2 linked regions of the Macaca mulatta genome follow. The protein of the gene in region 1 purifies or fractionates together with the protein of each later gene. This does not show direct contact. Links are inferred from orthologs where the notes say so. Each region holds a gene or a part of one and is shown on either strand. Other genes may lie near its edges.

What was found.
Region 2: the proteins of TADA2B (region 1) and TAF10 purify together in Homo sapiens (affinity purification with mass spectrometry; 4 studies listed by BioGRID and IntAct, counting the BioPlex papers as one, with this or other methods). This does not show direct contact. The link is inferred for Macaca mulatta from reciprocal best matches to the Homo sapiens genes TADA2B and TAF10.

What each region holds. Positions count from the first base shown.
Region 1 is NC_133410.1:5,991,481-5,995,722, reverse strand, and holds the start of TADA2B (transcriptional adapter 2-beta), read left to right. Parts: upstream 1-1,424; 5' UTR 1,425-1,632; coding exon 1,633-1,902; intron 1,903-4,242. Other genes in the region: CFAP184 (cilia- and flagella-associated protein 184), read right to left, coding at 1-1,000. UniProt on the Homo sapiens protein: Coactivates PAX5-dependent transcription together with either SMARCA4 or GCN5L2.
Region 2 is NC_133419.1:59,170,674-59,173,997, reverse strand, and holds TAF10 (transcription initiation factor TFIID subunit 10), read right to left. Parts: upstream 1,845-3,324; 5' UTR 1,833-1,844; coding exon 1,601-1,832; coding exon of another isoform or gene 1,586-1,600; intron 1,463-1,585; coding exon 1,308-1,462; intron 1,093-1,307; coding exon 1,028-1,092; intron 944-1,027; coding exon 829-943; intron 652-828; coding exon 562-651; 3' UTR 514-561; downstream 1-513. Other genes in the region: scaffold protein ILK, read left to right, coding at 102-251. UniProt on the Homo sapiens protein: The TFIID basal transcription factor complex plays a major role in the initiation of RNA polymerase II (Pol II)-dependent transcription.

The DNA of each region.
Region 1 (4,242 bases):
GCCGCCACTCCTTCTCCACTCTTGAGAGCTTCTCCTGGCACTGCTGCTTCAACTGGCCCAGCTCCTGGTGGTACCACTGCAGGTCGTCTGCCTGCTGCTTCTTCAGGTCCTCCAGCATGCCCAGATGGCGCAGGTACGCTTGCTCTTTCTCGGGGGCCTCTGCTTCTGCGCCCCGGTCAGGCACCTCCGCCGCCTCCAGGCCCTTCTTTTTGCGCAGCGCCTCGAAGATCTTGTGCTGCAGGTACAGGTTGTAGCGCTGGGAGCGGTTCCGCTCCATCAGCAGGGAACGGTACTGGTCCAGGAGGTCGCTGCGCAGCTGCTGCTCCTGTAGCTTCTGGACCTCCTCGGACCACTCCAGGTCCTCAAACTCGTCCCTTCCACCGAGGGGCTTCCCCTCTTCCTGGCTTTTGGCCGGGCGTCCTTCCCCAGCCCTCCCCTCGCTCTCCGCGCCGTCTCTCCGTGTCTCCTCCTCGTCGTCCTCCTCCCCCTCCACCCGCTCTGTCTCGGCCTCCGGGGCTGCAGCAGCCTCTTCCTCGCCGATCCTGGTCAGCGGCAGAGAGGCCTGGGACCGGACTTCCTTGCCCTCCGCCGCCTGCTCCAGCTCCTCCGCCCTCGCCTCCGCATCTAGTTCCTCGGGCCCGGCTCCGGACTTCGGCTGGACGGGCTCCTCAGCCCCGGCCTCGGCCGGCTCTTCGGGTTCGGGCTGGGGCTTGGCCGGCCTCCCCGGCTCTCCAGGCCCCTCCTCGCCCGCAGCCTCGGCTGCCGTTAGCTCTTTCGGGGTCTTGGCCTGCTCGTCCGCGGCTGTGCCTCCCTGCGAAGCCTCCTCTTCCTCCTCCTCCTCCTCCTCCTCCTCCTCCTCTGGCTCCGACTCCAGCTCCCCGGGTTCGGGAGGGGTCGGAGGGCCAGAGCTGGCCTTGATCTTGGACGGCCGCGCGGCCAGGCTTTCCCCGTCTCCGCCTTCCCCGCCGGGGTCCTTAGTGTGCTCAGACCCGCCCTCCATCTCCGCCCGGCTCTGCCAGCGCAGCGGACCCCGGCAGCGTGCTGTTAGGTTTCCCGGGGCAACCGAGGGCGCGCGCGCTGGGCCCGGCGATTGGCCAGGCGACAGGCCGTCGTCCAGCCTCTTCTCCCCGGAGAGCAAGCCAATGGGAGGCCGCGAGCTGGCGATAGGCGAGATTGATTGGAAGCGGCCGTGGGCTCTCGCCGCGAGGGGCGTGGCGTCCCCGCCGGGCTTTCTGCCTGCCCATTTCCCACCGCTGGGCCTGGGGCGGGGCGTTCAGGAGGCTCTGGGAAAGGCGGCTGCGGCCGGCGCGGGGTGCGCGCAGGCGCAGAGCGGTGGGCCGGGCGTCCGCAAGGTGGCGCCCGCGGGGCGCCTGCGCGATGCGGCGGGGCGACAGCGGCCGCGGCGGCGGCTGCCGGGCCGGGCCGGACGGCGCCTGCGTACTGAGGCGGGACGCGGCCCGGCTGGCTGGCTCCGGCGGCTGCTGGGCTGGGGCCGCGGTGGCGGCAGCCGCGGCGACGGGCGGCGGTTGCTTGTGCGCGGCGGCGGCGGCGGGTCCCGCGGGCGGCGGGGCGCTGACGGCCGGGGGCGCGGCGGCTGCGGCGGGCCGGGCGGCGGGCGGCGAGCGGGGGAAGATGGCGGAGCTGGGGAAGAAGTACTGCGTGTACTGCTTGGCCGAGGTGAGCCCGCTGCGCTTCCGCTGCACCGAGTGCCAGGACATCGAGCTGTGCCCCGAGTGCTTTTCGGCCGGCGCCGAGATCGGCCACCACCGCCGCTACCACGGCTACCAGCTGGTGGACGGCGGGCGCTTCACGCTCTGGGGGCCCGAGGCCGAGGGCGGCTGGACCAGTCGCGAGGAGCAGCTGCTGCTGGACGCCATCGAGCAGTTCGGCTTCGGAAACTGGGTGAGCAGCGCGACAGGGGCCGGGTCCCGGCTAGGGCACAGGAAGGCCCGCGCCTCTCATGTATCGGGCGCGCAGGCAGCACTGGACCTGCTCGCTCCGCTCGGCACCCCGGAAGGCCCCGGAGGTGGGGAGGGCGACGCTGCCGGTTTATAGTCGGGCACCTGTCGGAACCTATGCTCAGAGAGGCTGTGACGCCCCCAAGGTCACCTAGCCGAGACGGGGCCAAGTGGGGCTTTGAACGCTGGTTTCTGACAGCAGAGCCATTTCCCTCACCTTCAGGGACACCTTCACAGGCGTTTGCGGAGTGCAGACGTTGGGCGAGACGCGGTGCCTTACCTGAGTTCGTGGAGTCAGGCAGGCCCACAGACTCGACAGAAAGCGGTGGGAGCACCAGGGAGGGAGAACGGTGGGCGCCCTGCGGCTTGTCTCGGGGTCTCTGGGGCGGCCCCGTTTGCTTTCTGTCATTGTATGCATGTGCCCTGTGTGGTGTGCCAGTGCACAGATTCTTTGTGGGTAGCGTGCCTGGTTAATGCTTGGGTCTCCACAACCCACGACATTGTGCGAGTGGTCAGTAAAGAATGAACAAAGAGGCCTGGCCTGGGAGGCCTGGGGCTTGGGTTTTGCTCTCTTTACGTTTGAGGTTTTTGTAGAGACAGCTCTGTGTGGGGAGCGGTGAGAGCTGGACTGGATCCACTTACGCTAGCAACATCGTGTGCTAGGTTCTGTCCTTGAGAGAGGAACATGGTTGTTCTCTCTGGGCGGTTTCTCAGCTCTCCTTTCATTCTGGAAGCTTGCATCCGTGTTAGAAAGGAGAAAATCTCTAGCCGTATTCCCACTCATAACCACCAAAGGCATGTGGCCATCCCCAGGCACCCTGAGAAGGAGGGGAGTGAGACACCCCAGCGCCCTTAGCTTTGCAGAGTCTTCCCCTGCTACACCAGGTGCCTGCTTCTCGGAACAGCGTCCATCTGCTGCCACGTCTCCAGCAGTCCTGCCTGGGCTGCTTTGATTGCCTTTTGCTTTCCTTTCCTGAAAGAGTCTCAGGACCGCCTCATATACCCATTCTGAAGCCCTGGAATCTTGATTCTCCTCCCAGCTCCTTAGAGAAGATGGTCCTTTACAAATCCTTACCTAATGGCCACCAGCATTGGGATCGCCATTTTTCAGAAACTCTGGCCCATCTTGTCCTTCCATGCTGTTTGTGGATATGCACTGAGCTTGTGTTCCGTGCAGATTCTACAGTGGCGGAGGACTCTGAAGGAAAGAGAAGCCTTTATCCCTCCATTCAGGGAGCTTAAAGTGTGGTACTGACTTGGTCCTGGGCCCAGAGCTCCTCCTTAGCAACAGCCATCCATGTCCAGCCACCTCCCTGTCCTATCTGCCTCTCAGTGTCCTCTTGACTTACTCCTTAGTTCCTTGTTCCACTAAGTTCCTGATCCAGTTTATCAGCTGTCTCCTCACAGTACATCCAGAACAAACTACTTCTTACAGCCGTAGTCCCGGCTGATAATTTACTTCTTGCCTTGACCACTTTGGGAGCCTCCTTGTTCGTTATTCCCCCTGCACCCTATTCCCCCATTCCACACACCATAACCAGAGCGAGCTTTGGAAGCACAGAGCGCCTCACACCGGCCTCAGTGGCTTTTACTTCAGTTAAGGCTGCCTTAGAAGTGTTGAGCAATGAGATCTCATCTGTTACCTCCCTTGATCATTTTATATTTCTTCTACCTAGAGTGCTCTCCCCCAAAATCATGGCCCAGGATCGATCTTTCCACTTACATATCAGTGCCTCAAAGGGCTCTTCCCTTCACCATCCCAGCAATTATCTCTATGTTAGCAGCTAAGGAGGCGCAGAGCCTTGCTGGCATATCTGTGCGTATCTCAGGACATTTTCCCGACAGCCCTTGGCAGTTGGCTTTGGATGGACCAGTTTGACTTCAGAGCCTGTACTCTTTTTTTTTTTTTTTTTTTTTTTTTTTTTTGAGACGGAGTCTCGCTCTGTCGCCCAGGCTGGAGTGCAGTGGCCAGATCTCAGCTCACTGCAAGCTCCGCCTCCCGGGTTTACGCCATTCTCCTGCCTCAGCCTCCGGAGTAGCTGGGACCACAGGCGCCGCCACCTTGCCCGGCTAATTTTTTGTGTTTTTAGTAGAGACGGGGTTTCGCCGTGTTAGCCAGGATGGTCTCGATCTCCTGACCTTGTGATCCGCCCGTCTCGGCCTCCCAAAGTGCTGGGATTACAGGCTTGAGCCACCGCGCCCGGCCAGAGCCTGTACTCTTAACTACACTGTCTGCACTGCCTTCCCTGCGGCACTGTGGAAAATACACAGAACACAATACCTG
Region 2 (3,324 bases), on another chromosome or scaffold:
ATATTTGTTCGGATATACAGTTATCCTGTCCCAGGGGCCAGTGGCTTCTCTCTACATGACAGACTCAAATTGTGAGGCTCAGTTTTTTCTTGTATTCACAGGTGGCATTGGAAGGCCTTCGGCCTACCATCCCACCAGGTATTTCCCCTCATGTGTGTAAGCTCATGAAGATCTGCATGAACGAAGACCCTGCAAAGCGACCCAAATTTGACATGATTGTGCCTATCCTGGAGAAGATGCAGGACAAGTAGGACCGGAAGGCCCTTGCCTGAACTCCAGAGGTGTCAGGACATGGTTGGGGGAATGTACCTCCCCAAAGCAGCAGACCTCTGGTTGCCTCCCCTGCCTCCAGTCATGGTACTACCCCAGCCATGGGGTCCATCCCCTTCCCCCATCCCTACCACTGTGGCCCCAAAAGGGGCGGGCTCAGAGCTTTGTCACTTGCCACATGGTGTCTCCCAACATGGGAGGGATCAGCCCCGCCTGTCACAATAAAGTTTATTATGAAAACAGGCTGGTGTGGGGACATGGGGACAGACAAGTACATTTAGGTTGGGTGGCTCAGGTGAAGTAGTGCGGCTTCTTCACATTGATGCCATACTCGCTGAGGGCAGGGGTCAAGTCCTCCATGGTTAAAGTATACTTGCGGTCCTGAGGGAAGAGGGAAGAGCACCAACTGAGCACAGGAATCCCACACTTCAATCCCAGATGGGTGACCCTGAGTAAGTTTTACACCTCCCCTAGGATTCAGTTTCCCCAAAGGGGTGGCAGGATAAGCTTCCACTGTTGTGGAAGGTAATTAGTGATTCAATGAGCCTCCCCTCACACCTTGCTCTTGCTCCGGGAGCTGCCGGAGGCTGTGCCCTTCATTTTGCAGTGCTGTAGGGCATCATTGGCAATATCTGAGATGAATTTCTGGGCAGCTAGGGAGATGAGCCGAATTCTAGAGAGAAAAAACTTAGATGAGAAGGAGATGGACAACACACTGCACAAGCACCCAAAACTAACCTGCCCTGGGTTTACTCACATGCGTGGGTCTGAGGCCTCAAAGCCAGCACGGTTCAGGTAGTAACCAGTCACTGCATCTGGGATCTAAGAAATCAATTAAGAGAACTGTCAGCAGAGTGGGATGAGGGTGAGGGAAATGTCGGATAGACCTGGTTATCAGGAAGCTCACGATTTGGGTGAGCAGAGGGCAAAAACAAGAGCGACTACGGAAGCAAACATCAGAGGGTGCTGAAAAGCACGGAGATGTGGCTGAAAGTTGTGACAGCAGGCTAGGTGGCCTTGTTCGGGCGGAAGCCCACCGTAGGCGTGTAATCCTCCAGCTGCATCAAGAAGTCCACCAACGGCGTGCTGGACACCACCGGCTTCACGTCTCCGTTGGCCGCGCTCGGCAGTACGTAAATCCCGTTAGACATGGCCCCTTCTGGGGGCGCCGCGCCACCCGCCGACACCGGAGCTGGAGGAGAACCAGCAAAATGAGACACAGAGGTGGGAGGCGCAGGGCCCCAGCGAGGTCTGTCTATACCCGCTGCCCTCACCCGCCGCTGGGCCCAGTCCCAGACGCTTCCCTCGCCCTCACCCGTCAGGCCCTCACCCGCCCCACGCCGCTCAGCTGGCTCCCCGGCCCGCGCCGCCAAGGGTCCCGTGCCCCCAGCAGCTGCTCCAGCCCCAGGCCCCCCTGCTGTCCCCGCGGGGCTGGCCTTGTTCTCCGCAGCGGTGCTGGCGGGCAGCGCTGCGGGAGCCGAGACCGGGGGTGCCGGGCCCGGGGCCGAGGCGGCGGAAGCCGGCGCCGCCTCGGGGTCCGCGCCGGAGCCGCTGCAGCTCATCGGGCCGGTGGGAGAGGCGGCGAACAGAGCCGCTTCCGCTTCCGCTCGCGCCGCGCACACCCCGGGGTGACGTCACGCGCCCTCGACTCGCCCCGCCTGTCACTGTTAGTGCTCTCCAGCCCGCTCCCCGCCTCCTCTGGTAGTGGGTCTGCGGGTTAGAGGAAATAGGCTGAAGGGCGGAGACCAAGCCTTGGCGAACTGCGCTGCCGTCGCCATTCCGCCCTAGCCTCTGCGGTGCTCGGTGGCGATTCCGTCGAGACTAGAAGCAGCGTGCGTCCGGGACTCTTCCGCCGCTCTGGGACACCTCATTCTGTCTGACGCTCAAGACCTTGCTTCGAGGTTTATGGGCCCTACATCCCTCGACTACGGATTGCCTGCCTGTCTGCATCCTTTCAAGTTCCCTTATTCAGCCTTGTAAGGATTCATAGTGGATTTGGAAAGCCCCCCGCCCTTCTCCACCAACTGCCCCGAGAGGTGGGGGCAGCAGTGGGGCGGCCCACAGTGCTGCTGTAGAAGGAGGAGGGGTTTCAGCCTAAGTCGACAACGTATGCAAAAATCACAACGAGTGAAAGGCGTGAGATTTTCAATGTAGCAGATATTTAATTCTTATTTGCCAACTCCTGAGCTAGGACCTGGGAATACAAAGTTAAATAGAACACGATTCTAGTCCTTTAGGCACCAACGGTCTTGGAAAGGAAGCCAGACAAGTAAAGTGGCTATTTCAATACTATGTGGTCGTTACAATACTAGAGGTAGACACAGGGGTCGCAGTGCAAGGGAGGAAGGGCATTAACATCTGCCACCTACTTCCAGGTGCCAAGTACTCTTATCAACATTATTCCACTTTATTCCCTGGTGATTAGGAAAGGCAGGTAATATTCCCACTTAACAGACGAGGAAACAGCCTCAGGGAGATAAACTTGCTTGACCCAGTCTCTCTCCCAGTCCATATCAGAACCAAGATTCAAACAGGTTTTGTTTAGAAAATCTAGGATTTTTCAGCCATAGCAAAATGAAGTAGCCTCAGGGAATCAAAACATTCACGAGAGAAGGTGACTTCTGAGCTGAATCTTGTAAGAATTCTGGAAATTAACCAGGCAGTTTGTATCAGGGGTGGTATTAAGGGGACAGAACAGCTTGAGCAAGAGTGAGAGTTCCTTGGGGTTTGGGGAGGGAGGAGGAAAAATGATTTGTTACTTAGGAACAAATAGCAACGAAGGTTTGTGAGCTATGATTGGGGGAAGAAAATAAAAAGCCTGAACTCTATCCAGTAATCCTTGAAGGGTTTTCATCCAAGTGGCCTGATGGGATTTGCATTTTACTCTGGAAGATGATTTGGGGATTGGCCGGAAGTAAGGACGCTGTACTTTTCAAGAGAATGTAGCCCTAAACTAATATAGTAGCAGTGGGGATATAAGTGGATAAGTTCTAGATATACTTGGGAAATATCATTGGAAGGACTTGTGGACTGATAAAGATATTTAAGAGGTAC